Drosophila melanogaster: one gene and its partner. The protein of the gene in region 1 interacts with the protein of each later gene in a pairwise test. Each region holds a gene or a part of one and is shown in the gene's direction. Other genes may lie near its edges.

Region 1 (16,355 bases):
TATGTTGAAAAGAGCTCAAATCGGAAGATGGAGCGAGAAATAAAAGGCGACAGTCTTAGAACGAGAAAAACTCGTTGTTCGAAGCGAGCAAACGAAAAACATTTAAATAAATATATAAATTATGTATACGCGCTGTGTGCGTTGCGTTTTATCAGCGAATGAGAGGGACGGTGCGAGAGAGGGAGAGAGCTAAAGCTTCACACAGATACAAATTGGCGCACGCTGGTGTGCGTGAGCTGCTGCTTTGACACACTTTTATGTGACGTCGTTAATTTCGTTTTCTTTTTTTGGTGTTCTCGTTCTGGTTCTGCTGCTCTTTTCCACATTCTTTTATACCCTCCTCTTTCAAGGAGCTTTGCTTTTGAACATTTCATAGGGACGGGAAGAAGAAGACGAGTTGGAAATTCAAACACATGTTTGCCCGTTTTCTATTTTCCTTATCCAATCAGACGTTTGCGTTCCAGTTGGATTTTCGTTTTCAGGTGTTAATTGAATTTGTATTTCAATTTCTGTTACCTCCGCCTCCTCCTTCTTCACCACCATCTCTTCCACTTCTTCTACCAGTATTTATGTAACCAGCATGAGCGAGCGAGAGAGAGATGGAGAGAGAGCACATGCCAGGGCATAGATACTTTTTTTTGGCATTGAAACAAAACGTAGTTCACAAAAAGCACACGCAAACCAGCACACGACACGCGCACACAGATACACGCCACGAAAAAAAGAACTTAGAACAAGAACAACTCAAGAACCCAGCTTAGACACACACACACACACACTCACGCACACATTCGTACTTGATTTAATTAAATTAAATTCCAGTCCGCCTCAAAAAACAACAACAACAAGAACTAGAGCTGCAGATACTCTGCGATTTAAGCGACACTGTGTGTTTTATTATTCGTTTTAGTTGGATTTTATTCCTCGTAATTGTTTTGAACCACTTTTGTTTAGATGCCTTGTTTTTGTTGCAGAACTTGACAAGCAAACACACAGGCAGCCACAAACATATAAACAAACTCACTGGCGACCACGATGATCTGAATCTGACGCTCTGACTCTGTGACTGAATCCAACTGAACTGAAATGCGGATTCCAAACTTGAAAACAGCGAGCTGACTGAGATTTTTGTTTCTGTATAGAAAAATTCCGATGGTCGTCGTTGAAGAGAGCGCGAGAGCGTATCTTACAGATACAAATACGAATTCGGATTCCGATTCGGATTCGGTTTTGCTTTCGTTGCTCGTTTCGGATTTTGAAGAGAGCGAACTGCGCAGCGATTCGCTCTCTATCCAAAACAACCACTTTACACTCAATCCGGATTTCCATTTCCATTGTGCATTTTCCAATTCCGCGCTCTTAGTATCTCTATCTCTGTAGGTCATTCTGGCAATAATAGTACCCCGCACTGGAGCTGATAAGATTGCATTCTGTTTTTCATCCACTAAAACTATAACTCATGATTATGGCTTTAATTAGTCGTCTCAAAAGCTCGTTTCATAATCCACATAAATTCAAAACTTAATAATGCAAAGATCAACTGTTTACTAACATTCATTACTTACAATATTAAAAAAAAAATTAAATGTAATGTTAAAAATTAAATTAAAATGTATTTATTTTAGTTTACTGAGAAAAATTAAATATTCATAGAAAGTGCATTCATAACTTACCAACAACACGATTCTAACTAAAGCCTAAATGACGATTTTGAATAGTAATACAAATCCTTTCCTTTTTCGAATAAAAACAGTCGTTATGTTTTTAGTTTAGAATAGCACGTAAAAGTCGATTCTAAATGAGACTCAATTTTATTCAATTTGTAAAAAACAAACGTCGAGATTAATATCATTGCAGTTGCGTCATTATCACTAAGCCTACTTTACAGTTAAACGTTAGTTATAGTTACGATTCATTGTTATAGGCAATAACCCCATTGGGGATATCGAGTACAGACATGTATTGCTTGCTGTGGGACTGGATGGATATCACAAAAAAACGTAAAAAACTAGGGGAAACAGAGTAAAACGTGTAGTTACACGGGGGTGCGAAAAATACACCGCTGCGTCATAGGATTGAATTTCCAAACCCTCGTGTGGAAGCTTGAATAAATAAATGATACGTAGTATGGATTACGCATTACGTCTTTCGGTGCAGTCAGTGCTTAAGTCGAACATTAAACGAAGATTGCCTGTATTGCAGTGGATTAGCGTCCGAGATTCATAGGTTGTGAGATGGTCGCTTGGCTTCAGTTTCTGCTTTATCCTTTGCCATAACACGTTGCGATCAGCTTGAGTGACTGCTCACATAAGCGGCGGTTTCCATGGGGCACACTTCCGGCGCCACCATGCCATCCAAGTGCTCCAAATTCTGCAGGAAAGTCAGCGTCGTGCGCTCGCATCTCGCCACATTCGGCAGTAGGTGGCACACATCCAGCTGACGAACGAACAATTAGTCAAACAATATTGTTAATTATAAATAAATACCATTTCCACTTTCTTTGATATTAATATAATAAACTTCTAAGCTCACCTTCTGTGTATGCTCCTCTGGAGTGCCGCATTGCATCAGATTGGTGCGGTGCAGAACGTAGCCTACTCGCTGGGTTTTGGCCGAGCTCTTGGTTAAGCGTCTCATCACCGACACATCGAGATCCTCACGAGCCGAAGGATGATCGCCACCAAATTGCCCCTGTGCCCCGATCCACTCATTTTCAGCGAATATAAACTTGTCCAGTGGATCCAGCAGTGACTGCGATGCTTTGTGAGCGGCACTTGTCAAATAGCCGGCAGGATGAAGCTCTGACGGTCGGACACAGTTGTTAACCTTCTCCAGCACCAGCCGATAAATATGCAGCACCGGCTTGTTGTCCAAAACACCCTGTCCCAGGCCGCGTTCATCATCGCTGGCCAGGCGACGATCTTGCATAATCTCTAGCTCGCCCGAGGCCAGAGAAGATCCACCCAGCGGTTGACCCGTGAGGAGAGTGAGTCGCGTATTGGCATCCTCAATGAACATACCAGAAGGTATGGGATAATAGTTGGCCTGCAAAGGTAATTTGTCCAAACGCCGCCTCTTGATAAATTGCAATCCATTGAGATCCGTGTAGAAGATATCGCCGCTGTCGATATGCGTCTCCAAGCGCATCACGATCTCCGTGTTGTCCAGTGAGCCTATATCCACCAGATTGCGAATCTCAGGTGCACCACCGCGCATTATCGTCTGGTGCACCACGCTCGGAAGTCCCACGCTCACGGACGACTCCAGTTTGCCCTTAGTCACCAGGACCACTGGCTGGCCAAGCTCGACTGGCGAAGCTGGTCCATTGGGCAGGAACAGATAGGCACCGGATCTATCGCCATGCGATCGAACGCCATACTTGAGGAACTTGAAGTGCACCGGTACATGTGGGCTATCCTGAGTAAGCTGAATGGACTTAAGGAGACCCTGCTCCGAAAAGGCCAAGGTGGGTCCGTTACCAACCCGCAATGAGATCTCTCGAGGATCGCCAAACTTCACATCCTCCGGATATTGGCCCAATGGTAACGAAGTCGGGTTTTTACGGAGCAAGAGATTCGATGCATACGAGGTGTGCCTGTAAGTAACATTGAAATGCTTATTGAAAAAGTATAAATAAATAGTATAAATAGAAGACAATTACGGCATCTGGTTAATGAAATATTAATATCAATAAATAAAACCTGCACTCTATAATGGTTTAAGGAAACGGCATAGCGAAACGTGTTACGAAAATGTACAATTAATACAGAAAGTACGGAAAGGATTCTTGTTCCTTTGATAAATGGGTAATCTTTAACTGGCTACTCACTCTGGCTTGGAATCGGAGATGGTTAAAACGTAGGTGGCCAAGCCCATGGGCGGCACCCGAGCCTTGAAGATGATGCGGTACTTGGTGGTGGAGCCTTGTGGGTGGATAGTCTTTGTGAGTGTGTCGTGGTGCCAGCTCCACACCGGGGACACCTGAGCCTCCACCGGATTGTTTGCCAAGTCGGTAACGCTTACAAACGGACTGGATACATAAAAGTCCACCAGCTGCTCCCGCCAGTGGGGCAGGGTGTTGTGCATCACCACATGCTTGGAGGGCAGTATATCCTCGCCCAGTATTATGGTGGTTCGACTGTCCTCCACACCAGATCCTGGCCAGCGGGAGTCGTCGAGCGTAAAGTACGAGAAACTGAAGTCCGGACTGTAGATGGAGGGCTTTGTCAGCAATCGGTAGACCGACTGTTGCATTACCATTTGACAGGCTTTTAAAGCTTCCTGCATGCGTTGCTCGTAGTCGACGACTACGTGCGTTTTTGCTGTGCCAGTTATACCGTCGTGGTGCTGGAACAATGACAGCTCCCTGCGGGCCTGCTCCAGACGTTCCTCGATGCGGGCCATACCGTCCCAGGAGTGCCAGGCGGAAAGCATTTCTGCTGCACGTACATAGTGCATCAGGACGCGGTCCATGCGCTTATGATACGGGCGGGATGTGTAGTAGCCACTCCAATAGTTATCCGATCGATCGGCGTATGTGAAAAAGTCACCGCTTAGCGTGGGAAACTCGGCTTGTCCCGCCCTTTCCGCCTGGTGCACTGCATCAAAGTATTCCTGCAGTGTGCCGAACTGCGCCTGGACATTGAAGTGGGCCTGGCTGTTGATGTGTTCGAACAGCCTTTCGTAGTTCACGCGCTGCACATCCCACTCGGTGTTCTGCTTGAAGCGGAAGTCGTCACCCAACGGAATCAGCAGCACGTTCGTGCGATACAGCTCGGCCTTCTTCTTCCACTGATCAACCAGCAGATCTGAGCGTGCTGCCACATTTTGATCACTGATTGTACGCGGCGGCACCTTCCATGGACAGCTCAAACCGAAGGAGCCCATTCGTTTGAAATCGAACTGACAGCAAACCTTGGGATCTGGACCACAGGTGTGAGGAATGTCGTACGAGTAGAAGGGCATCATGTGGGTGAAGAGAGCTGTGTCCCCTTTGTTGTCCCAGATCTGGCGCCACAGGAACTCAAGCTGTCGCTGTTGGGCCAGTTCCTTCTTAACCGAATAGTGCGTCCTTTGGATAAGCATATTCTTGAAACCACTCTTCTGCAAAATGTACGGCATAGTGGGACTGTGTCCGAAGGGATCGATGGCCCAGGAAGCAGTGGGTGTGACATTCATGAATTGCTTCAACCATGTTTGCCCTTCGGTCAGCTGCAGCAGTACGTTTCGCCAGTGGGAGTTGGCCTCGTCCGGCATTACCCATCCTCCAGTCACAAATTCCAACTGTCCATTCTTTACAATGCTGTAAATAAGTAAATAATTTATTATTTTTTGTTAAAAACTAAATATTGTAGTTGTTGAGACTGCAAAGCTTATCAATTCCTATTTCTGCTTTGGGTTATAAATATTAGGTAGATAAGTACAAAGCTGTTTCGGAAAACAAGCAGCGTGATCATGCATTTTGTTTATCTAAACGCTTTTGACGCAATAACGAAGTAAAATATTTCACTGCTGCACATAACAACTGTGTAAGGTTTATGGAATGCAATAGCAAAATGGCATTGCACTTTGTTTTGTGGGTTAACTACCGTTATTCATTATTGTATCAATACTATATAGGGAAAGCATGCTTACGACTTCATCTGCAGCTTTTTGTTCTCTCCCAAATCGTGATAGAACCGAGCAAAGTAGGAGATTTCCGCCCAGATGAACTTCATCTCGGGATTGTCGTGCAGATGCCGTAGTGCATTGGACAGGATGTGCTTGGTGTCGTGCTGGTAGTATTCCTCAAACGTCTGAATCCATCCAGGATCGTTGTGCGAGTGCGGCACAACGAAGACTTTTAGTTTGTGATGGGCGTTGTACTTCAGTGGATCGTACTTAATGTTCCAGCCCTGTTTCCACACGCCTCCATCTATGTCCTTGAAGGACATGCGATCGTATAGCTCCAGCATCTGTACATCCACATTGGGCACGTCTTGGACCACATCTTGGCATTGCCCTGGCCTCGGGGAACGAGCCACTTTAAGTGGAGGTCTTATTGGATCGTCGCGATTGGATGTTTCGGCAAGACGCGCCCTGAGATTCCGCATCTCCTCCCCGTGCTCCTGCAAACCATTTTCCAGCTCATGCAGCTTGTTCTCAATGTTCTCATAGTTGGGCTGCTAAAATAAAGAAGTTATTATACATTCGAATTGATTTAGAAGCATTTATTTACCTTTATCTGGGTGGCTGCCGGCGCCGCAAAATTGAGGATTATGTACAGGCTGAGGAAAACCAGCAGGCAGCCGGAGCAAATTACCAAAGCGAACCGCCGACGTATTCGCAACATTTTCCGGTTAATTAAGCATGGAAACGTCGACGTCAGAGACACAGCAGCCAACTGCAACAATCCAATCGGTTGGAACTTGCGTGGTTTTTTTTTAGCATAAACAAATCAGATCTGGCGATATGTTTGCTTTTCCCGAAAATCGATAGGCTGTCAAGTTATCGGCGCTGCTAACTGCAAAATGTTAAATTGTTAAAATGGCTTAGAAAGACAAAAACTTTAAAGGCAATTAAAGAAAATGTAATAAAACTCTTATGTTGTTTGTGTATATTGATCCTTTAAAAAAATTATTATTATCCTTAGTTATCGTGACATTACAGCTTTTTAGCTGTACAGAGTTAACAGATACCGCCAAGTGGCAACGCCATCAAATTCTGTTGCTTCTGTTGTGATAAACTAACGGTAAAATCACAATCCTTTATTGAGATTAACGGTCAAATCAATAGATAAAAGAAAACTTATTACATATTTAAAGAATGATGAAATTTTTAAAATTCATTGTATCATATGTTATTCGGCCACTGTAACCGAAATCAACCATTTTTGGCGGATGCTGTGTGTTTGTTTTGCTGACAACTATCGATTTTGTCAGACGCAGCATCTTTAACTGAACGAAAAAGGCGCGTGGTGCAAAATATATTAATTGATTATAGATCGTAGTGATTATATTTGAGACTATATGATGAAGCGACAGAATGTCCGTACCCTTTCCCTGGTGGTATGCACTTTCACCTATCTTTTAATTGGAGCCGCCGTGTTCGATTCCCTGGAGTCACCAACGGAGGCCAAAAGATGGGAATTCCTACAGAGTGAGAAGCTTGTTGATTTATTAACCTAATTTCTTAGTAATGAATTTATTTAATCAATTGTAGCCGTTAAGAACAACTTTGTTAGAAAGTACAATGTGACTGACGAGGATTTCCGTGTGATGGAAATCGTCATCATTGAAAATAAGCCCCACAAGGCCGGACCTCAGTGGAAATTCGCTGGAGCTTTCTATTTCAGCACGGTTGTACTGGCAATGATAGGTAAATTAATTATCTATTAAATATGATTTATTGAATAGATTATAATTCTGTTGTAACTTTCTTTAGGATATGGTCATTCTACGCCAGTTACAATTCCGGGAAAAGCATTTTGTATGGGCTATGCTATGGTAAGTGAACTTACAATCCCAATTTCCAGTCTTCTAAAGATATTCCCTTATTAGGTGGGCATCCCGCTGGGTCTGGTGATGTTCCAGTCTATCGGAGAACGTCTGAATAAGTTTGCATCCGTGATAATAAGGCGGGCAAAGAGAGCCAGTGGAGCTCGCTGTACGGATGCCACCGAAATGAATCTCATGTTGGCCACCGGAATGCTCTCCTCCATAATAATCACCACTGGAGCAGCAGTCTTTTCCCGATACGAGGGTTGGAGCTACTTCGATAGCTTCTACTATTGTTTTGTCACCTTGACGACAATTGGTTTCGGCGATTATGTGGCATTGCAGAACGACCAAGCTCTAACTAATAAGCCTGGCTATGTGGCGCTGAGCTTGGTCTTCATCCTATTCGGCTTGGCCGTGGTGGCCGCCAGTATCAATCTATTGGTGCTCCGATTCATGACCATGTGAGTCCATGTTCTATTGCAGGAAATATCTTATTTAATGGATTTTTAATCACAGGCAAGCAGAGGATGCCAAGAGAGATGAGCAGGATGCTCAGAACTTGGCTGGAAATGCCCAGCCGGTGACCTTCGATGATGAGTCCACGTACAATATGCACGGCAAGCTGCTGGAGAACAACTACACAACGGAGAACGATGAGACCGCCTCCCTGTGTTCCTGCACCTGCATGGGTGGCACCAGGTGCCTGAATCATGAGCAGTTCGTGGACCCGGACTTTCAGCCTACCGACATTATCGAGAGCACCTTGTGCCTGAAGCGAGCCTCCGTCTGATATCCGTACAGCCAGCTGTGGGACTCCTCATTGTAGGAGCCAGAGCCAATGGATCACCAAATCGTAGTTACAATCCTGTAGAGAACCATCCGCCGCCAAAATTTGGTTGTTAGACAAACCTTCCTCCCTACGTAGATTTTTAAACCAGGATGGGTCATAATACATATAAGTTTGGAGAGCAAGGTTAATAGTCTTTAAAAGGCAGTTTTTGCTTAAGAAATAATCGACCCATCCCATTATACACCCATATAAACATTTACAAAGGAGTAAAATCCAGGACATCCATGTCAATATCAATCGTATCATCTGGTCGGTAGCCTTGGAATCCTCTATTGCTTCCAAGGCACCGCCAAATCCATCCCATCTCGAATTTTAGCCGTATATTCGTTTATCTATGTAAGTACTATTAAAGTTTGTGCTCAAAACGGAGAACTGAGTTTTCTGAAATCGGGGTGTGTGAAATGTGTCGAAGTCGGAAATCGTAGTAGCCTATTTGTGAACATTCGGTGTAGTAATCCAAGCCAGGTTCAGTTCACCTCAGTATCAGCTAGCACGTACACGACTAAAATCTAAACCTGAAAAATTATACGTTTAAATATTCAGTCTTTTGCCGATTTTTGCCCCACTCAGACTGTTTTAAAAGCTCGATTTTTTTTTGTACCATTTTTTCGGTGTGAAAAAGGGGCCCTAACTTTACTATCAAAATGCGTGAAATTGTACACATTCAGGCCGGTCAATGCGGTAACCAGATCGGTGGTAAATTCTGGGAGGTAATCTCGGATGAGCACTGTATAGATGCGACCGGAACGTACTACGGCGATAGTGATCTCCAGCTGGAGCGCATCAATGTATACTACAATGAAGCCACCGGTGCCAAGTATGTGCCACGCGCAATTCTCGTGGACCTGGAGCCCGGCACCATGGATTCGGTTCGTTCTGGCGCCTTTGGCCAGATCTTCCGGCCGGACAATTTTGTGTTTGGCCAATCGGGAGCAGGCAACAACTGGGCCAAGGGTCATTACACCGAGGGTGCTGAACTGGTGGATTCCGTCTTGGATGTGGTGCGAAAGGAGTCCGAGGGATGCGATTGCCTTCAGGTAAGTTTTGGGGGTTTGGGAATTTATCTGAAAAAGTTTACCCTACTTTTCTCCAACAGGGCTTCCAGCTGACCCACTCGCTGGGTGGCGGCACTGGCTCCGGCATGGGAACCCTGCTGATCTCGAAGATCCGCGAGGAGTACCCGGACCGCATCATGAACACCTTCTCGGTGGTGCCCTCGCCCAAGGTGTCCGATACGGTGGTGGAGCCCTACAATGCCACCCTGAGTGTGCATCAGCTGGTGGAGAACACCGATGAGACGTACTGCATCGACAACGAGGCGTTGTATGACATCTGCTTCCGCACACTGAAGCTGACCACGCCCACCTACGGTGACCTGAACCATCTGGTTTCGGCCACCATGTCTGGTGTGACGACCTGCCTGCGCTTCCCTGGCCAGCTGAACGCTGATCTTCGCAAGCTGGCCGTGAACATGGTACCCTTCCCCCGGCTGCACTTCTTCATGCCCGGATTCGCACCGCTCACCTCGCGAGGATCGCAACAATACCGGGCCCTTACCGTTCCGGAGCTGACCCAGCAGATGTTCGATGCCAAGAACATGATGGCTGCGTGCGATCCGCGACATGGTCGCTATCTGACCGTCGCCGCCATCTTCCGTGGCCGCATGTCCATGAAGGAGGTGGACGAGCAGATGCTCAACATTCAGAACAAGAACAGCAGCTTCTTCGTGGAATGGATCCCGAATAACTGCAAGACAGCGGTGTGCGATATTCCGCCCAGAGGTCTCAAGATGTCGGCCACCTTCATTGGCAACTCCACCGCCATTCAGGAGCTATTCAAACGGGTTTCGGAGCAGTTCACCGCCATGTTCCGAAGGAAGGCCTTCTTGCATTGGTACACCGGCGAGGGAATGGACGAAATGGAATTCACAGAGGCCGAGAGCAACATGAACGACTTGGTTTCTGAATATCAGCAGTACCAGGAGGCGACTGCCGATGAGGAGGGCGAATTCGATGAAGACGAAGAGGGTGGCGGCGATGAATAATAGGATTAACTTCCCACTCAAGATCACACATGAACACCAAAACAGGCTAGCAGGGGAACCCATTAGGAAGGCACAACACATTGGATCTTTGGGCCTTAGCATATTGTGCTTCGAGGCCCGTCGGTTGTACATATTTCCTATATGGATTCTTCACTGTTCGATTATTTATCATTCACACACGTACAGAAGAAATATGTCCACCTTTGTTAAGCTCATGTTGCAATTGCTGTGATTTCTGGGTTACGAATAAATGTTGATTTATAAGCAGACAAGATTACCAACAGCATTTTGCATATTTTTATACCGTTCAAAAGGCATTGCATAAACCTAAACATTAATATATAAATATTCTGGATTGAATTGAATTTGAGGCTAAGCGCTCAATATCGAAAATCTATATTTTGTTGGCAATCATTTTTTAGAGTTGCCTTACGAAAGTGACAGCTTTCCTTTCTGACAGGCCGTCATCATTCAAGTCATTCAAGTCATTGAAGTCAAGGCACCAAGATGTATTTTCCGACTACTCCAGTTACCTCTCGCAGTGGCTATCTGCGCGGCCGAAAGCGCATAAATCCGCATCCCATATCGCAACTGCAGAGTGGAAAACCGACGTCGGAAGACGACCAGGATAGCACAAATGTTGATCTAGAAGAATCAATCAGCTCAAGCTACTCATCGGAGACGGACATCTCGATGAACGTGGAGGCGCAGGACACCAGCACGGATAGTGGTCTGGACACTAGCCAGGAGAGCAGCAACGAACCGCGCTACTCCCTTCGAAAGATGGATAAGAATCCTCTTTAGTGGTTTATTCAACTGAATGGTCTACATGGGTGTAAAGGAACAGCAGCAGCAGCAGTGGCATCGGGAAATACTTAAGCGCGAGCGAAATATTGAGATACTCGGTAACGAATTGAAATAAAGAGTTATCCATATCCAAAGTCTAGACATCGTCGAAGAGTCCTCGGGGTGGTGGGCCGACAATTCGACCATCTGTCTCCGCCTCGTAGTCGGGGTCTCGGAATCCCACCTGCACCTGAGTGCTCACACCGAAACGGTCGTTGATCTCCTCCGACAGGGATCGCGGTACGCCCAGTGCAGAGGAAGAAGCCACTGCCGCATAGTCAAAGCTGCCGTCGCCATCGCGCAGCAGCCCGTCGGCGGGCGTGCGACTACTGGTTAGTCCACCGGGTCCACCACTCCGGTATTTGCTCAAGTAATCGCTGCCCAGAACCTGATCGGTTCGGTTGAAGTCACGGCGTCTGGCCATCGCCTCCTCGGCACGCTGGCGGCGGCGCTTTTCCCGCGCTATAAGATCCTTTCCCTCCTGCACCAGTTCGGTAGCAATAGTTTCGTTTTGCAGGAACTGCTGGAAGCCGAGAGCATTCAGTGCCCGACTGCCGAGGCTAAACCAAGTGGCCAGACAGAAGGCCAGCATACACATTGGGAAGTAGATATTGAAGCCGTTCGAGATGATGCCAATAACATCCATGTGGCCCATGATCTGCGTGTACACCGTCTCCATAATGCGCTGAGGAATAGTTTATAAATTTTCAGTAATTCAGTGTTTACGAACATGTTTACTACTCACGTTGGGAATAATGTGTGTGTCCATATGGATGAGACCCAGGAAGTTGAGGCACATGGGTGGTGTCAGACGGCACAGCAGCATGCCGCTGAAGATCAGACTGTGCTCGTTGGTCTGGTGATGCGGTGCCAGGTAGTAGAGATTAAGGAAGCGTATCCTCAAGATCGTGGAGTAAGTGCAGTAGAAGAAGTAGCATAGAACAACCATAGAGAAGACTTCAATAGTAAAGAAGTCGTAGCTCTCCTTGGCCACGTAGATAACGTTGGCGAATATGGAAAGCACAGGGTGGCGACTGAAGAAGGTAAGCTCGCTCCACACCACCATGGCCGACATGGTGGCGGTCAGAACGCACATGGTCTTGAGGAACGGAGCCTTTAGCAGGCACTCCCAGTACCACTGCAGCGAGGCGCTGTAGCAGATCCTCTCCAGCTGCGTGCGCTGGCGCGGAAACTCAGATTTGAAGCGCCGGTCCGAAGAGTGTATATTCTTGGCCACATCCTCCAGATGCAGCACTGTCTGCACCTGCACGCTCCATAGCGCTTCGGTGCGCTGCAATGTTTGCAGCGATTTGATTACTTGCTTATGAATGCGAACCAGCGCCTTTTCCGAAGGCAAGATAGTGGAACTCGTGGCACCCATGCCGCTGCCTCCAGTGCGCGCAAAGTTTCGACTCGCTCGCTCTTGCAGCTCAATGGGAACCTTGCGCAGAATGGTCTCCAGGCAGGGGCGCAACTCGTGATTGTTGGGTATGACGCGGCTAAGGCCTTGCAGCGACTCAAGGATATCATCCACATGCTCCTCAGCCTCGGCCTTCTCAGTGCTCAATTTGGCTGCCTTGAAGTAGGCATATTGCAGTGCAAATCCCGGCTTGGCGTTGTTCCACAACGATCGAGGTACCTCCACCAGAGCATATCCCAGTAACAGGATGAGCAGAAACAATCCCCATGTGTTCGATGCGGACGAGGCAATTGCCTTGAGCTTTTGCCAATCCAGAGACTCTCCTTTGACGGCAATATAGATGAGTAGTACGCCACAGATGAACAGGTAGGAACCGTAGTAGATGGCATTCTCTATCAGTGCCGATTTAAGTTTTCCCTTGACGGTGAAGTCGCCCGCCTTAAGGTACGACTGCATCAGCGGCATAATCAACCAGGTGAGGAACTGTGAGCTCCAGTAAATAATGCGCCAGAGGTTTGGGAACACGGAGGCGGGCACCATGCCCCACGGTTCCTGGCACTGAGGCGGCGGACCCACCGTGGCGCTCGACGTGTTGGTCACATTTGGGGCTGGGGTCGGTCGGTGCTCCTCCACGCACTGCCGGTAAAGCGTCTGAAATGGCAATTATACAATTTGATTGTTAATTGTTATTAGCTCTAATCGAAGGAGTTGATAACCAAATGACAATAGGGTATATCCAAAGCCGGAAAGCGGTTAATTTGTGTTTCTATAATCAATTCGGGTTTTTTGTTGTCTAACTTTAGGGGTGATTCATTTGCAGATAAGAAATTCCAGACCAAAATCAATGTATGCTTACAATTTGAATGGTGTCGGCGAAGCTTTAGATAAAAAGTTAATTAATTTCCGTTCGAAATTTAAGTTTTGTTTAAAAATTACTAACGTTTCACATGCAATAAAATGCGACAAACTGTGTTTTGATGGAAATGGAAATCTAAAGATTACTTCTTTATGAACGAAACGTGTTTTTAAATATTTATAATTTCTAGTCGTTCTAGTCTTGTATATATTTATGATCGTTGGAATATATATTTTACCTGCAACATATACAAAACATATACAAAACCACAACATATGGCAGAAAGGACAGAAGCATTTGCACGTTTAAAAGTACTATATATGCACATCTACAAAATCATATTAATGCAACTATTTATTAAGTTATTTTAAGCTTTCTGTTGTTTCCTATTGCGGCTATATTCTATTCCAAATGGTCTTATAGCTTCACATTCCAACTCACCGATGTCACGTCCAGCGGAATGGTGAATACAATTAGAAAGGAGAAACACCAGGCGGTCAGCACGGACAGGGTGACCAGGATGTGCTGACGTGGTATGTTTCCGTAACGGTACAGCGAGATGCTGGCCAGGAATAGGGCGGCCACGATGCCAAAGCTTAGTAGGTACGCCATTGTGACTAGTGCTTATCCCGATCCCGATCCTGGTACGGGTGTACTCAGTTCTTGTGCTTTGCTGTGATTCTGTGTATTTGTGGTGCGTGCGTGTGGGTGTATGTGCTTATAACAAATGTATTTCTGCGATTAAGGACTGGTTCATAGCGAGCCTGTGGGCTCCGTGGACTTCTTCTTCTGCTGGCGCTTCTTCTGCAATTGGCGAGCGGTGTCCCGATGCATTTCCTCCAGGCGTTCCAGCGCCTGCGTCTTTAGCGGCATCAGATGTGGCCGGCAGAAAAGCAGCTCCGTTTTGTGCTCGAAAAACAATTTTCCGGTTGTGGGCTCAATCAGATCGATTTTCTGCAGCACCTCGGCCTCCACTGAGGACATCCTTTGGAGCTCCGCGGGCGGTCGGGGGGCGTGGCCGGGATGTGTTGGGAGCTGGCGTTGGTGGTATCTTCACTACGCCGGTACCAGTTCACCTTCGTTGTGTTTATTTGTTTTTTTTTCTCGGTCAATCAAATCAATCGACTTTATCAAAAAGTGTGAACGTGTGCGTGGGTGGGCCGAACAGCACTGTTAAATGAAGTGTAACGTGCGTTTTCATGTTGACATGCTCTGGTCACACTGGACTGTGGTGTTCACTTGGGAATTTATTTATTTATACCCATTTTATTGGGTAGGAGAGCATTTTTAAAGGCAAATAAATTTCTAATTAACAATGCTTTTTTATAATCATGATAGTTTCAAACATTTAGGTCTTGACCAACACTAGAAACACAAAACTTCTTTGCAGCGAGTTGGCAGCCCTTGGTCAATGTTTTTGTTTTGCTGGCACAGCAAAAGAAATTCTTAAATTAGGAAAATTTTATTTGGCCTGGCCAAGATTGCCCAGAAATGGAAGCGAATGAAAGTGCGATGCCAGGAACGGACAAATCCCAAGCTTGTCGCACCAGCGGCGATGGCATGGAGCAACCGGAAAACAGTGGAGCGGCCAAAACAGAGAGCGAAATCCCAGCGAGTGCTGATGTGGACAACAAGGTAAAGAGGCCACAATTATCGCGAAAAGACAGCTCCGTTGTCCAGGAGGCCGTCATGGGCAGGAAGACATCAACTAGTAGCGGCCACTCCTCAAATTTGCCCCTTCCTGGCTTGCATACCCTGTACAGACGACCCGAGAACGTCACCCGGAGTTTGGCGCCCGTTGTGCCCAAGGGGGAGCTGGTCCAGATGCGGCCAAGACTGGTCACCAGCGCGGACTCGCTGCCCGAACATAAGAAGACCAAGGCGCCCAAATTCGTGCCCTACGAACCATATCCGGGTGCCGTGAATCCCATGATCTCTGAGCCAACGAATAAACACAAAATCCATCGGGATAAGAACAACCTGGACATTGCGGTGCTGGTGGATCAGGTGTCCACGCTGCGCACACAGGAATTGGAGACTGAGACAACGGATATTAAAGAAACAGACACAGCCAGTAGCCATGAGGTAAACTCACTTAAAGAGGAGCTGGCCAAGATGCGCGATGAACGCAATTACTTTCAAGCCCAGTATAAGTTCCAAACGCAGGTGAATAGCGAGCTGAAGAGCCTGCTGGTGGCCTCCGTGGGCGAGGATCTGCAGACACGGGTTAATCTCCTCACCGAGGACAAACTACAGCTGGCCAGAGCTCTATTGGACACTGCCAACAATTTGACCACCCACACCGAGCAGATTGAGTTCCTGGCCGGCCAGTGTGAGGTCTGGCGGTCCAAATTCCTCGCCAGCAGCGTTATGGTTGAGGAGTTAGCCCGCTGGAAAGCCGATCTCACGCAGAAGAATCAGCTATTGAACGAGTCAACGAAGCAACTGCTTCATGCCACCCATCAGATCCGCGAAATTCAGCTAGATATGCTTAAGCAACTGAAGTTCCTGGCCAAGATTCGTTTCCTCAACCTGCCCGCCACCGATGTAATCAGCCTAAGTGCCGAAAACCTTAACATTCTCCAACGCATGGTCCTGCACACTGGCGTGGGCATTCCCGAGGAGACACTAAAGTTGTCCAGCGCCAGCACAAGTCCACTTTGTGAGGCGGAGAAGTACGCGGTTAGGGTAAGTACAGCGATAGTTAAAGTGATTCAAACATCCAGTTAATGGTACACCTTATTACCGTCCCACCAGGCCTTGGAATTCATTAGTCAGCCCCTGATGGCCACCGATGAAGCCATACGAGCACTTTTCGACCAGGCCCAGCGACCCCACTACGTGCAATCACCTGCATCCGA
Region 2 (16,355 bases), on another chromosome or scaffold:
ATTTTCCTCCCCCAATCCCAATGGCAACTTAAGTAACATTAGTTTCGATAGTTTCAGCCCTGCAGCAAACATACATACATATATGTATGTATGTACAATACTACATATGTGGGAACATGTGTGTACACTTGGAACAAAGTCAAAAGATTCAAAACGTTGAAAAGGAATATCATATCATTTATTCAAAACGACACATAACGAATATCAAATCTATCAAAACTATAAATTACCTAAAATGCCAAATATTTTATAGTTATGTTTTCTAAATACACAAATACATAAGTTCACTGCGTTGGGATTTGTTCTGATATATAAGGATCAATATCTCTTGGTTTGATTTGCTTCATTCAGAATCAACAAATATCCAATGCTACTAACATATATGCATATATTTTCTTTCAACTAATTTTTCCCAAATAGAACTGATCTGGGGGATCAATAAGCTATGGTACATACGAAATCATTCGAGTACCTAGAGTAAAATGGTTTATTCACATCCTGTTCGATTGAGGACGTGGCAGGTCGATTTTGTTAAGTGTGTGCCATGGACTGACAGATGTTCGGCTGAGTGAGTGCATGTGGCCGATTTACATGGGCTCGGGGATGCGATGCCTTTACTTTACACGCTGCCACAGCACCGGCGGCACCAAGATCCCAATATATCGAGATCAGCGGGGAGCGTTTAACAACGAACGTTGGCGTTTTTCGCCAATGACGGCCAGCGACGAGAGTACATAAGATTTATAGTTGCTATTTTTAAAAGCGGCGTATTAAGAACCGTAGGCCAGCGACCAGAAGCAGTCTACTACTACAACTACCACCGATCCGGCCATAAGAAGTAAGGGGAGCTCCTCATGCGCTCCTTTCGTGGTCTTTGAATCGGGATGGGTTGTTGAACTCAGCCAATTTGAGTGAAAACGGGAGCTAGTCATACGATGATGTTTCAAAATGGGCAGGTAATGAGAGATTGCATTCAATATCACTGCAATATTGCAACAGACTTAACATAAAAACAAAGGAATACACATACAACATAACTCTGACAATAAAATTATAATGTAAGAATAGAATAAGAATAGAGTAATATATTTCTTGTCTACTTGTCAATTTAATGGGCGAAGACTAGTAAATGCATATTTAATAAACGCCGAGCCCCTTTTTCGTGTATGTACATATGTATGTATGTTCGCATGACCTGCTGCTGGTCATCAACCGATCTGAAAGATTGAAAGATACAAGCAGCCGAATCAGATATCTTCGATCTTGGCTTGCGCAAAGCCCCGACCGATTTTATCCAGTCGAAGAGCAAATATTTTGATATGCATTGAGTGCTGCTAAGCACATGCAGATATATGCACTAATGTCGATCGGACGAGTGTCTGTCGACAAATTCGAATAGCGTTCGGTCGTCGTTATTTGGATTTGGATTTGGGCTTTGCTCGCCCACCTTTGAGACCTCTGTTCGCTTGTCGATTTTCATTGATTACTATTTGCCTGAATCACGTGTCGATACGATACGATCCAGTACGGTCGATCGATCGATCGATTGATCAACGATCGACGATCGACGATCGACGACGAACGCTTCTTTCCGTGGCATGTGGACATGGATAGCGCCTCACTCTCGTTGGAAATTGGAAAAGAAATCGGATTGAATGGGGCTGGGCGGCGTTGCTGGGGCCGTACAGATTTTAAACACGTCCCCACCGTTATTTTTAATTTTAGTACACATATACCACACGGCGGCGAACACACACAGAACACAGATACTCGGATACAGATACAGATACAGTCGTAGCAACGCATGCTCTGGCAACGATCGTATTCTATTTGTAATCCAAAATAAGTGTACGTATCTGTGGCTGTATCTGCATCCGAACTATGTGGTTCGCTTTACGATCTCTCGATGCCCACTCTCTTTCCCACTTGACTCGACTCGACTCGATTCGAATCGACCTGGCAGACGAACGACGACGAACGCTTTCCGTTGAAATCTCTTCTTTGTGCTCCGTATCGAGAGTCTACTGCCACAGCTCCTGCTGCTGGTAGAGTACAGCCTGTATCTACCATATGAAGCTAACGACACTGGCCAATCTGGAGCAGCAGCTAGAGGCGGGAAAGATCCCAAAATGGTTTTCGGGCGCAGAAGTACCGGAGCACAAGCACGAAAGCAAGTTGCTCAGCGGCGTAGCTTCGATAATCTCAGCTCGAAATAACAAAATACAGCGTTTGGCGGGAGCGGGGTTATCTCCGACCCAATGACTTATCACTGTAGCTGTTGTCCGTAGCAGTTGGTCCGTAGAGTCGACTCGGTTTCGATCTCGAAAACCAGAGCGCCAAGCAACCATCTTTAACAATAGGACTTATTTTTGATTAGAACGGCGAACAGTAGACGAACATCACTTTTTCATTCTAGTGCGACTAATCGAACTTTGTTTTTTTTTTTTATTAACAACTATTTTAATTATATTCTTAATTATTTAATAGATATTATGAACACCACTAAAAGGAAGTGTACAGAAAACAAAGCTCTGCCAACTAATCTAGAATTATGTTCGACTTGATTCGCTGAAAAGTATACAAAAATGGCCGTCCATTTGCACAAAGTACACAGAACTATAGGAACTATACAAAGCAATATATTAACACTTACTAACTTTTTAAATAAATGATTCAAATAATGTTTTAAAGATGAGTTAAGTAGATAAATGACCTTATATGCAAGTTATGTCAGACAACTTTAGATATGTAATGAAATTTACCAGCAGATGTCGCTCTTTTCTTTAAAAGAGAGAAAAATTAACTAACGAGTAACGGGTATCTGCAAGTCGCGACATTATACCCGCCTGTTGGTTTCCAACTATTGCAAAACTATAAAATACAAGATCTATTTATTGTGTGTATAAAATCAAAGCTTATATGTAACCAAATAACTTGCTTACAGTCCTTGGATATTACTTTGTTAATACGAATGCCTAATTGATAAGCCTTTAATAGTGACGATGGAATAAATTAATAATGATATATAAATTGAAGAATTGCAGACAGATTGTATGTTCTATTTTCAAACATAGATTCCACATTCTAATTTATAGTAGATGATAACGAAGAATAGGTTGGAATACTGCGGCATTTAGTATCCTGTTGCGTTTTGGCCAGTGCTCAAGATGCTGTTGCAAAGAGACGGCAAACAGAAGCAACGCCAAACGTTTGCATCCATACCACATCCACATCCACTTCCACTTGGGGTGCCCATGCCCGCCATACTGCACAACATACTCGTATCTATTTTTAGGCTACGACTTTTCCCATTTGGCCCTTCATAGATCCACATAGGTTCACCTCCGTCCTATGCCATACCATACCATCTCCTACCATTCCATCCGCATCCGAATCGTATCGAGTCGGGTCGAGTCGAGCCGAGTCGAATCGAATAGAACCGAATCCAAATCCAAACCCGAACACAGGCACACGGTAGTGTGCGTGATCTGTAGAGTAGGAATCGGAATCGGAATCGGAGTAACTGCTTCCCTCTTCGGATCGTGGGCATCGTTGGAATCATGCTTGCTCTGATCGGATGGATCTGCTGTCTCCGCCTTGCTCCTCTGCCGCTGCGACCGCCACCGCCACCACCACTGCCTCCTCCTCCTCCTCCCTCTCCTCTTTCGACGTAGTCTCTGTCTCTGCCCGAATCTATAAGTAGACACACTTGTATGTACACGTTCGTGTATACATATATATTTATATACCCGAAGTCCGTGTGTGTGTGCAGAACACATGTGCACCCCAGAAGGCATCGCCATCGCCTCTCCGCCGCAATCTACCAGGTTAGAGCAGTGTTCCGTGGTGTTCCGTGCCCGAGGAGCGATCGTCCGCCTAACGATCGTAGCGGTCCATATGTATGTGTGTGTCTATGTGGGAGCTCACCCGTCTGTGTGCGTGCGCGCATGGGTGTGTGCGCGACTGCCGTTAGTATCGGCAACGGGATCGCAAGCAAAAAGTTCAGTTTCAGTTTCGTTGTTGTTTGGTTTGGTTAGTTTTAGTTGGTTAGTTGGAATCTCAGGACGGCGGACTACGGAGAACGGTAAATCGCGTGCAGCGTTGTCCGGAGGAAGAGAATTGCGCTCGCGTTTTCTTTCCACCTTTCTTCTCCACTCTACTTTTCGCTCAGTGCAAATGCAGGTCAGCGAAAGCTTCTCGTGCGTGAGTGATGGAGAGAGCCCAGAGAGTGGCGGTGTGAGTGAGAGCGCGTAACAAGGATGAATGACAGAAAAAAGAACAACAACAAGTGAGCAGGGACGCGCAAACAATAACAACAACTGCAACAGTAGCAAATAAAAGAGCTTTGGCGGAAAGAATAGTGGCAGCTCTGCATAACTGTCAAAGTGCCCGCCAACTGTAAATGTTCGCACGGATATTCGTGAGTGAGAACGCAGAAAGGCACATGTGCATCTGATTTCGTGATTTGTGTTTTCACTTTTTTTTTGTGATTCTTTTTTTTTTAGTTTGTTTTTTTTTCGCGTTTTCTGTCGACGTTGCCGTAGCCGATGAGCCGCCGTCTAAGGCTAAAAGGTTAACTTCTAAATATTAATAGTCGTTGTCGGTTTGTTGTCAACAACAAAATTCGAGTAACGTAAAACAAAATACAACAAAGAACAAGTACGTTCGTTGATTTCGAATTCGATTTCGATTTTGTTTCGGCTCTTGTTTCCGTTTCGTTATTTTGTGGTCTAACAAATGTTGTTTTTGTTGTGATTCGATTTTTATTATTTTTTTAGGCACACACACGCACAATCGCCACGCTCTAGACGTTAAGTGTCACAAAGGTTACATTGCGTTCACACTAGTTACATTTGAAATGCAAACGCCGCCAGGCCAACGCAGCATCCGCAAAAACAAACACAAAAACATAAGCAATAACAACAACAACAACAACGAGCAGAGCCGGAGAGTCCACAATTGAAACACTCGAAAGAATCTGCAGCGGATCGGAGAAGAGGATAGCAGCAGCAGAAATTAGACAATATCACCGTCCAGCATTGCGCCTGCTCAGCAGAATCGGGCCATCCAGAAGCTGCTGACACCACAGAATTCCCAAATGGTAAGCAATGTGAGAGATTAGCTTCCAGGCAAATAGCGCTGCATATCCAAGCAGTGGGGGCGAGAAGATACATGCATATACATACATACAGTTTGTCAAGAAACTGTTTACACACTGTAAGATAAGTTGAATTTTTGACTTTAAAGCTAAAAATAAAGGGTTTTTTGCTTAATTAAACGGAATTTTTTTATAAAATATAATTAAACAATATTTATTTTACTTATAAATCAAAAAACAAATTAAAAATATTAAATATACAAGAAAATAAACAACAAATTCCAAGTTTACACACTTTTGGGACTGTCAAGAAACTCTTTACACATTTTGTTTTCCTACTTTGTTTTGTTCTTTTTCTTAGAACGAACTCGATTTTTCCGTTATTTTTGGCTTTGCATTGCTTTTTACAACGCTTCTATTGAAATTTGTTGACTTTGCTTGTGAAATTTTGCTGATCAAACGTGCTTAAAGCGAATTATTAAATTTAATAAAATGCCTGGAAAGAGATTAACTTTTAAAGTTACCCAATTAATAAACTATAACCACCAGTTGGGAAAATCTTTTCCAGAATTAGTATAAATGTTTCCTGTATCCCGTAAGACCGTCTACAATGTTTTTAAAGGCTCGGAAAAAGAGGACAGGCTTGAACTTAAGAGTGGTGGTGGGCGGAAAATTAAAATTAAAAAACGTGTAGACCGCTTTATTATGCGAATAGTGATTGCGAACCCCCGAATCTCGGTCAGATCACTTGCTCTGGAAATCAGGCAAGAATGTCACCTAACTGTGTCACACGAAACTGTGCGCCAAGTCATCCTACGCCATAGGTACTCTTCAAGAGTTGCAAGAAAAAAGCCTTTGCTATCAGAGATCAATATTGAAAAGCGTCATTCATTCGCTGTGAGCATGATGGATCATGCGGAAGAGTACTGGGATGACGTCATATTTTGTGACGAAACAAAAATGATGCTCTTTTATAACGATGGGCCAAGAAGAGTATGGCGCAAACCGTTGAGTGCGCTAGAAAAACAAAATATCATTCCAACGATAATATTTGGAAAAATGTCACTGATGGTTTGGGGCTGTATCATCAGCAGTGGAGTGGGAAAACTAGCCTTAATTGAGAGCACAATAAATGCCGTGCAATATCTAGGAATCTTAAAAAACAAATTTGAAGGCCAGTGCAGAAAAATTCGGTCTAGTTAGCAACAACAAGCCAAATCTTAAGTTTTACCAGGACATGATCAGAAACAAAGAGTGGAATGTACGCACCTGGCGCCTTTGTAACTGTGGTAAAGTGATCGATACGCCCCCTCAGAGTCCTGATCTGAACCCCATTGAAAATTTGTGGACCTACTTAAAGAAGAAGGTGGCAAAAAGGGACCTAAAACACAACAACAGCTTATGACTGTAATAGTCGAAGAGTGTGAAAAGATCCCGTTTGAATATGACCTGCAAAAACTTGTCCAATCCATGAAAAAAAGGCTTCAACTTGTAGCTAAAGCCAATAGGGCACATACTACATACCAAAACTTTTAAAATTTTAATAAAATAATTTTAAAATTTAGGATTAAACTTTGATTTAGTGTTTTGTGTAAAGAGTTTCTTGACAGTCCCAAAAGTGTGTAAACTTGGAATTTGTTGTTTATTTTCTTGTATATTTAATATTTTTAATTTGTTTTTTGATTTATAAGTAAAATAAATATTGTTTAATTATATTTTATAAAAAAATTGCGTTTAATTAAGCAAAAAACCCTTTATTTTTAGCTTTAAAGTCAAAAATTCAACTTATCTTACAGTGTGTAAACAGTTTCTTGACAAACTGTATGTACATATAGTATGTACATGCATGTACATAGATTCTCCCAGATACGGAAGTGCAGCAGATCCGATCCGAACGCCACAGCCTCCGCACGGATCGCTATCTGCGGTAGTGGACAATCCGTGAATATCTGCGAAACAAATTTCGCCGCGCTTAGTCATCATCGGCAGCTCATCTCTGCCGCGGGAGGAAAGATTTCGTAGAATCTAGACGGCATGAATGAGCTTTGGCCATCAGCACGATGATGCACAAAAACTTCTGGTCAAGATCATAATGGCATGTCCATCTATGTATCTCTTGGAAAACTCAGGAGATATTATCGATGTTTTGAGCTAGAGATATAGATAAACATAATCTTACTGATTTTCTTGGATCTAGTAGACAATGTTTGTAGTTCATATATTATATGGTATATTTACATACCATGCGTTTGAAATATACAATTGAAATGAAATATATGTATGTGTGTACATTGAAATAATTGTGACAAACTTTAACTGCACAGATGTAGCTATTTATAAAAGATTTATGTAAATACATATAAGTATCTGCATATGTTTTGACCATTAACCGTAATAAATTTATTAAAAAATATTTATGATTATTGATATCAAAATTAATATATATATATTTATGATATATACGATACATCGGTCCATAGTTATTTCTAATTATTTAATCATTTATTTTGTACATTGGATTGGATTATAATTTACCTACCATATGAATCATATTTAAGATGCCTTATGTATGTACATACATACATACTATATAAAAATCTTAACGAAACAACTTGGTTTTTATGAGCTTTTCAACGTTGTAAACGCCTGTACGATTTATTAACTATTAAAACTAAATAATAATAATGAATTTAACACATCACTATTATCATCATATCTATATATTTTTTTTTGTATCTTATTGTTAGTAGCAATTGTTTCTTATTTTCCTTAAATTATCCTGTTGGATATCCTTGCAGGATACGAAGAATCCCCCGCCGGTGACGAGCAGCTATCACCACCAGCGGGCGCCGCGGACGCCGGAATCGTACTTCAACGTGCCGGAGTCGGTGGCCCTGCTGAACATCGTCAAGTCGGAGCGCATCCAGAGCGCGTTCCAGTCGAACCGAAAGAACCATGCCAGCGTGTGGGAGATGGTCGCCGAGGTGCTCAACCGCTTCAGTGCGCGGAAGCGAACGGCCAAGCAGTGCTGCAATCGGTACGAGAACCTCAAGAAGATCTACACGCAGCTGAAAAAGAATCCCGAGCGCCATGTGCGCCGCAACTGGCCGTACATGTTCCTCTTCAAGGAGATCGAGGAGCAGCGCGGCGAGTGCTGGGGATCGAATGGCAAGCGTCTGGCGCTCATAACCAAAAACCACAACGAGCTATCCTACTACCAGCGCCGACGGCAGGCGGCCGAGCTGGGAGTGCTGCTCAACAAGGACAACCTCACCCCGCACCAGCACAGCCTACTGCAGAGCCTCAGCCAGAGCCAGAGCCAGAGCCACTCGCACGCCCACTCCACGGACTCCTCGCAGAGCGGGAGCAAGCTGGACCGCTTCCTGCCCAATCACTTTGTGGAGGCGCAGCTCAGCGAGGTGGCCGGCCCGGTCGGTGGCTCCGCATCCGGTGTATCCGGCATGTCCGCCGGCGGCTTCGACGAGAATCCCCTCCAGATGCAGATGGTTCAGGCAGCTGCTGCCGCTGCCGCCGTGGCCGCCCATAAGCGACATGAGCTCCAGATGGCCAGCGTTGGCGGCGTTCAAATGACGCCCGAAGACGACGACGAGGATGAGCCCCAGCGGCCAGCATTTAAAAACCACCTTCACGTCCTGGGTCATGGCCACGGCCTCGGCTTGGGCCACGCGCCAATGGACGACTCTGGCGAAGCACCCGACTTCGAAAAGGACTGCAATGGAGCACTCAACATGCACCACCAGAACAACAATCACAACGAGAACCACATATCAATGAAGTGAGTAAAAGTTGTAATAGATTTCTGGTAAACTATGTAATAGACAGAGGAAGGGTTTTCAATCTCCAAAATATAATTGTTTATAGGCTCTTGTCTGTCCGTCGATATTTCCGTAACTAAATCTCAGAACGTTGCCACGCCCAGTCTTACGCCCACCAACAGTTTCGCAATCAAAAGACAAAAAAGTTCGTTGCAAGATTGAAAATCGTAGTGAAATTGAGAATATAGATTACTTTATGTTTCTTCCATTCAATTTAAAGATGTTACTTTAAGTGTAAAATCTAAATTTCGATGCCGATTCCGATCCTCTAGGGATTACTTACATATACTGCAAACTACAAACCTAAAAGATACTTCACTTCACTGATAGACTGACTTCACTTCATCAAACAAACAAAGTTAAGAAATAAATCCTTTTTACTCAACAATTATCAGTTCAAAAGTAATGGTGTCCATTTAATTGTTAATGGGGAAAGTCCAGATCGATTATCGGGTTGCCCCGTTCTCGAGATCCCGCCTAAGACTCTCGCTTCTCTGCCGCCCACAGGTCGGAGCCACTTTCGGAGGGCGAGTTCAATCCGGACGACATCCAGCTGATGCAGACGAACTACAATGGGTGAGTGCCGGCGGCGACGGAAGCCACCTTCTTCGAAACCGATTCCATTGATCAAATCCATGCTTGCACAGAGCGCAGAACTACTATTCGCCGGGCATGGATGCGAATATACTGCACCCCGATGTGATCGTCGACACGGACATCCTGTCCGACTGCTCCTCATCGACAACGCTGAAGAAGAAGCGCAAGATGTCCACCTCGACCGACGGCGACAGCACCAATTACGAGCTGATCGAGTATCTGAAGCGGCGCGAGAAGCGGGACGAGGAGCTCCTCAAGCGGATGGATGCGCGCGAGGACCGGCTGATGAACCTGCTGGAGCGCACGGTTGTGGCCATTGAAACGCTGGCCGTAAAGCGGGCACTTACGTTTCCAGTTAATCCAACCAAAGAGAACGCGCCAGCGACAGCCAGACCGTTGTCTCCGCCACCACCAGAGGCTCAGTTTGCAGCGCCGCCAGCTACGCAGGAGCAGCCCACCAGTCCGGAACGCAACGGCATTGCGACAGGCAGGAGCGGCACCATTCCCGTCGCGAATCAGGATGCCGCCATTGAGGTGCCAGACGACGGCGATAGCGGTGACGATGTTCAGGTGAAGGACAAGCTGGCCAAGCTGACACCAAAGGCTGGCGGCGATGAACGGACGGATGGCAGGCAGACGTAGAATATAATGCATCCACTACTCGCTAGATCTACTTAAGACTTCTACCTACATACATATATATATATATAACCCTTCCCTACCGCCACTCCTCTCACCGGATGGCGGCAGAGGATACAGTGCCAAAGAAGAGCCATGTCTCGAATTTCAGTTGAGATTGCCATTTTTACTTAGAGAGCCTACACAAGTGCTTAGCGGACGAATGAAACTTAATTGCAATGTTGAATATTAAGCGCCGCAATTTTTGTTGAAGCGATAATCTTAATTCACTTAATTAGCTTTTAGTTAGGCGGAATCCCACCAGCGGATGCCGAATGAATCTCAACAGAGCCGGATTCACACCGCTACGATAATCTAGTTGGAGCTGCAACGGGGCTCAAATGCATTTGTGCAGTAACTAAAGCACAAACATTTCATTTTTTTTTTTTGTAATCTAGATGAATACATGTACCATTTACAAAAAAAAAAAAGAACAATATTGGTTTATTTTACACAGGATTATGCTTAAGACTAAGGGTATAATTTAACCTAGATCAGTTTTTTCCCTTTTTATTCCGCTGCAGCTTGATATCCTTGCTGGGCAGGCTCTTCTTCGCCTTGGCGATCTTTTTGGTGATCAGCAATTTCAGGCGGTTCTTCACTTGGTCATATTCGGCATGGTCAACCACCGCCTTCGTGGACTTGAAAAACTTGGCGCCCTCTGCAAAGAAAAGACGATCGCTTGTTGAGAATGAAAAAATACGCACAGATTCACGTTCTTACCCTTGAGACGAGGATCGTTTCTGGGTATGAAGAAGGACTCCAATTTGTTTTTGTTCCTCTTTTGACCCGACTTCTTCGCTGGCTGGGCCTTGTTCTCCTTGCTGACCTCAAGCTCCTGCTCCTGCTCCTGCTCTTGCTTCGGCTTTACTTCGGTTTCGTCTTCGCTGTCGGACGAGTCGTAGGAGAACGGATTGAGAGTGGCCAGTCCGAGCTTATTGGCAGACGTCTTGCCCACCAGGATCTTCTCATGGCCCAGCTTCTCCAACTGGTCCTGGCGCTTGGCCACCTCCTTCTCCGGTGCACTGCCGAACATGTCCAGCAGGCTGAAACCCTCTCCACGCGTGTTCAGCGAATCCCTCAACGTGTCGGTGACAATGTAAAAGGCCGTCTTCGAGACGGCTGAAGCTTGACTGTTGCCCGCGTCGGCGGTCTTGGCTTTCGTACTGGAAGTCTCCTCCTTCTTCTCCTCCTCCTCCTTGGGCTGCTTTTGGCGCATTAGCTTCTGATGGCCCTCCTTGGCCGGATCGAAGCGCAGCATCTTTTTGTTCTTTGGCGACTTACCGTCCTTATCGTTCGCACTGGTGATCGCGTGTCCCACAACCTGCTCCAGAATGTTCATGTGCCATTTGCGCTCACTCTCCTCCGGCTCAGGCTGATCCTCCAGCTCCGCCTCTTCCTCCTCGTTCACAAAGTTCGATGTGATGCGGAAGCGGGGATCTATACTCTGTTTGCTCTGCATCTCCACCAGACGCTCGCCCTTCTTGCCCTTATGCTGCGGCAGGACGATCTGCTCCTCTTCCTCATCGTCGTCGTTCTCGAACAGATCCCGCTTTTGTATCTTGGCTTTCTGGACGGGCTTGGACGCCTCCTCCTCCTCGGCGTCGCTGAATTTTATTCTCTTTGCCTGACTGCCTTCGACTGATATCACAGATAGCGCCTGCTGGATGGCTGACTTCTTTTGTTGGTGTCCCTGACGCATCTTGTTGAGCGACTCCTTGCGCTTCTGTTCCGCCTGGCTGACATTGGCGTCCGGCTTCTGTTTGGCTGCCTTGCGGTGCTGTTCGATGACATGGAGTGGCTTCACGTCGTGCTCCTGCTGGATGACAATCTGTGGGAAAGGAAAGGAAAGGAATTTAGCTGACAATGAGCTTGGGAACAATGAGTGCGTGCATACCCGGCCATTGTGCATGGAATTGGCGGCGCGCTTCTTGGTAATCAGCAGCTCTGGAGCGACCTCATCATCACCAATCTCCTCATCCTCTCCGAATACCCTGCGCTTGTTTTGGCCACTTTGCACCAGGAGCTGAGAGCTCGGCGCACGCACCTCGGACTCGTCTGGCTCGCCCTGTTCCCGGCGCTGGTTCTCTTCGCGTTCGCGCTTCAGTCGATCCAAAAACGATTCTTTGGCAAGAGAAACTCTTAGCTTTTCGCCGTGCAACTTCTGCCATTTGAGCTCGTTGACGCCTACAAAACCAAGCTATGGTTACTCCTTCCGTCTGGCTGTGATCTTCCGCGGATAACTTACAGTACTGGGCATCATCCGTCTGCACGGTGACGAAGGCAATCACCTTAGTGGCCCCATCCTGCTCCTTGCGCTTCAGATCCACGTGCTCTACGTGACCGTAGTCCTGGAACAGGATCTGCAGGTCCGACTCCGAGGTCCTGGTCGGCAGATCCGCCAGGAAGAACCGAGTGCTGCCCATATTATGTTTACGCTTGCAATGCACGTGTAGAATCCAAATCCCGGCAAGAATTGCTGTGGGCCAGTGTGACCGCGGGCAGATAAAAACTTACACTTAAATATAGCCACAATTCCAATTCCCAATTGCTTTATACAGGTTTTTAACAAGTCCAAGCAACACTAAACCAGCTTTCAAATTTATTTAGCAACTTTGTAAATAGGCAAATACATTAAGTTAGACAAAAATAATCCCCATCGGTCAGTGTTGCAAGGCGAGCAATACAATTACTTTAGGTGCGCAGCTGGCTGGTCACACTGGCAGCAGACGTCACAATAAATTCTATTATTTTGTTTTGTTTTGTGCGAAAAGTTTGCAGGCCAGCAATCGTGGACTAGCCCACAAACAACGGCAGCATGGCGAGCGGGACAAGCGGCACAAGCAGCAGTGAAACGGCCCAGTCGACGGACATGGCACCATCATCGGCCGAGAAGTGGGGCTTCCCTTTGATTGAGCTCTACCGCCTGGCATTCACGTTCTACAAGCGTAAGAGCAGAGATCCCGGCACTAGCGCACCAATAACGGCTAATCTCACATATTGCAGGGAACTCCGGCAAGGCCATCCACTTGTCGTACGAGGACAACCTCAAGCTGATCGCCTTCAAGCAGCAGGCGGCGCTGGGCCCCTTCAACACGAGTCGCGCCCCGGCGCTGGGCGTCCTGGACGTGATCGGACGCGACCGGCAGCAGCACTGGCAGCTGCTCGGTGAGATAACGCGCGAGCAGGCGATGGAGGGGTTCGTCGACCTGCTGGACACAATGTGCAGCGCCTTTCGGCCGTACATTGAGGCCGTGCGGCAGGACCGCGACGAGACGCTGCGCAAGGAGCTGCGCCTCATGGAGGAGAAGAAGGAGGCACGCGAGCGGCAGGAGAACGCCCAGCAGGAGCTGCTCGAGGAGGGTTACAAGGAGGAGCTGCAGCGCCGCCAGCTGCAGGACGCACTCAACAAGCAGACTTACCAGCAGTTTAAGGTAGCCCATCGATTTTTTCAACAACACACCGGCCCGGCCCTCTGCACCTGTTGTTGTGCTAAATAATGCATGATAATTACTGGGTGCTCGGCCTTGGCTGCGCTGTCTGCCATTGAAAAGGGGTCATGACCCAGTTCTCAGGCAATTGCATGCCAGCTCCTGTACCATTAACTTGGCCCTTCTAACGCTTACACTCGTTCCACAGCTGTACGCTGAGAAGCAGTTCCCCGGAAACCCCGAACAGCAGGCCGTGCTTATCCACCAGCTGCAGCGGGAGCACTATCACCAGTACATGCAACAGCTTCATCTGCAGAACCAGAACCAGAATCAGAATCAGAACACGGAGGACAAGGGACACCAGGAAGCAGAACACGTCCCTGGCAATAACAACAACAGCTCAACCGACTTGCCCAACGCCATGGAGGGACTGAAGCTCGGTGAGGTCGAGACACAGCAGCACCAGCAGCTGGCCGAGCAGCAAGACGGGCATGTAGAGCAGACGTTGGAGGGCGTTGGGCAGGAACAGCACGGCGAGGAAGAGTACGACGACTACGTTATGATCTGCCCGGCCAAGATCTGGACTCGTCCCGACATCGAGCAGTTTAAGACTGAGGTGTCCGCCGGCGATGGGGACGGCGTCATCACCATTGGACACGGCGACACGGTGACGGTAGGTGGCAATCAACTAATGACGAAACAAGGCCCATATTGACCGGCACAATTTTGCAGGTCCGTGTGCCCACCAACATGAACGGCAAGTGCATCTTCTGGGAGTTCGCCACGGACAGCTACGACATCGGCTTCGGCATCTACTTCGAGTGGGCCAAGCCCGTGACCAACGAGGTGACCGTGCATGTGAGCGACTCCGACGAGGACGAGGATTGCGTGGACGAGGACTACCTATCCACCACCGAGGACCTGGAGTCCGGCTCGCTGTCGCAGGAGCGCGGCGCAGTTAACAACCCGACTGCTGCCCCCAAGGCACCCATTTCCATTATCGTACCGATCTATCGACGGGAGTGCTACAACGAGGTCTACGTGGGCTCCCACTCCTATCCGGGCGAGGGCGTCTATTTGCTGAAGTTCGACAACAGCTACAGCATCTGGCGCAATAAGACGCTGTACTACCGCGTCTACTACGAGCGTTAAGAGGCCAAAATGTATTTACTTACCACTAACTTAGATGAATCCTATCTCCGTACGAACGGCTAATGTGCAAGTCCGGAATAATCTGTATGTGCGTGTGCGTGAGGTTTTGGTTTTACGTGTGCGTTGCTGCAATTCCGGGAAACAAGCGGCGGGAAAAGACCATGCCGATTTCAGACTAAACCAATATTATTTATTATTTAGTTGTAACCGACGAAGACAAGTCCAAAATTCAATTTGAAACTAATAAACAATATAAAGACAACTGTAAATAATCACTTTTCGAAATCTCTTTGCTTCTTAATGAAGAATAAATTATTCGTAAAATTCACTTAGGAAACTTCTTCATACGACACAATTGCTATTACCAATTTTGGGCATTGAAACAACTATTATTATTATTTTATATTAAATAAAAATTGCATTAAAGTATAGTTAAGAATTTGGCTCGTGTAAGGGGCCCTAACACTAACGGTCCCACGATTTGCTGGTTGTGGTTTCTATCGGTGCCTGGTCACACTGGCCATTATGCATGCACTTCGTAATTTTGCCGGCAATGGAATAGCAAATGTATTTGGCTGTGGGATCAGGCGCCGGCTCAGCTATGTCCTGGGCATCGAGACCTCCTGCGACGACACGGGCATCGCCATCGTGGACACCACGGGCCGAGTGATTGCCAATGTGCTGGAGTCGCAACAGGAGTTCCACACCCGGTGAGTGCTCACATCTCCGCATGCGGTGCCCAATGATGAACTGAATCGATTGCAGCTATGGAGGCATTATTCCGCCCAGGGCCCAGGACCTTCACCGCGCCCGCATCGAGTCCGCCTACCAGCGCTGCATGGAGGCGGCGCAATTGAAGCCGGACCAACTGACGGCCATCGCGGTGACCACGCGTCCCGGACTGCCGCTGAGTTTGCTGGTGGGCGTGCGCTTTGCACGGCACCTGGCCCGTCGCCTGCAGAAGCCCCTGCTGCCCGTTCACCACATGGAGGCGCACGCGCTGCAGGCCCGCATGGAACATCCGGAGCAGATCGGCTACCCCTTCCTCTGCTTGCTGGCCAGCGGCGGCCACTGTCAGTTGGTGGTGGCTAACGGCCCCGGTCGCCTTACGCTTCTTGGCCAAACACTGGATGATGCGCCCGGCGAGGCCTTTGACAAGATCGGTCGGCGACTACGCCTGCACATTCTGCCGGAGTACCGCTTGTGGAACGGAGGACGGGCCATTGAGCATGCCGCCCAGCTGGCCAGCGATCCGCTGGCCTACGAGTTTCCGCTGCCACTTGCCCAGCAGCGGAACTGCAACTTCAGCTTCGCCGGCATCAAGAACAACTCCTTCCGGGCCATCCGAGCGCGCGAGCGGGCAGAGCGGACACCTCCGGACGGAGTCATCAGCAACTACGGCGACTTCTGCGCCGGCCTGCTGCGCTCTGTCAGCCGGCACCTGATGCACCGCACGCAGCGGGCAATTGAGTACTGCCTCCTGCCGCACAGGCAGCTCTTCGGTGACACCCCGCCCACACTGGTCATGTCCGGCGGTGTGGCCAACAACGATGCCATATACGC

What was found.
Region 2: the proteins of CG9356 (region 1) and CG14232 interact in a two-hybrid assay, tested with the Drosophila melanogaster proteins (2 studies listed by BioGRID).

The regions. Positions count from the first base shown.
Region 1 is NT_033777.3:9,402,670-9,419,024, reverse strand, and holds the start of CG9356 (uncharacterized protein), read left to right. Parts: upstream 1-14,755; 5' UTR 14,756-14,787; intron 14,788-14,846; 5' UTR 14,847-14,985; coding exon 14,986-16,182; intron 16,183-16,251; coding exon 16,252-16,355. Other genes in the region: alpha-Man-IIa (alpha-Mannosidase class II a), read right to left, coding at 2,287-2,436, 2,533-3,595, 3,830-5,302, 5,635-6,164, 6,218-6,331; Task7 (TWIK-related acid-sensitive K[+] channel 7), read left to right, coding at 7,008-7,137, 7,201-7,356, 7,423-7,484, 7,539-7,939, 7,995-8,268; betaTub85D (beta-Tubulin at 85D), read left to right, coding at 8,973-9,365, 9,425-10,372; CG44261 (uncharacterized protein), read left to right, coding at 10,880-11,176; CG8135 (uncharacterized protein), read right to left, coding at 11,316-11,903, 11,964-13,289, 13,936-14,106; BBIP1 (BBSome interacting protein 1), read right to left, coding at 14,248-14,478.
Region 2 is NC_004354.4:19,700,691-19,717,045, reverse strand, and holds CG14232 (uncharacterized protein), read left to right. Parts: upstream 1-12,786; 5' UTR 12,787-12,907; exon of another isoform or gene 12,908-12,983; 5' UTR 12,984-13,027; coding exon 13,028-13,157; intron 13,158-13,215; coding exon 13,216-13,643; intron 13,644-13,848; coding exon 13,849-14,313; intron 14,314-14,372; coding exon 14,373-14,792; 3' UTR 14,793-15,058; downstream 15,059-16,355. Other genes in the region: meso18E, read left to right, coding at 5,099-5,101, 7,897-8,894, 9,442-9,510, 9,582-10,173; CG14230 (uncharacterized protein), read right to left, coding at 10,704-10,870, 10,933-12,040, 12,107-12,396, 12,458-12,635; Tcs4 (Threonyl-carbamoyl synthesis 4), read left to right, coding at 15,318-15,502, 15,558-16,355.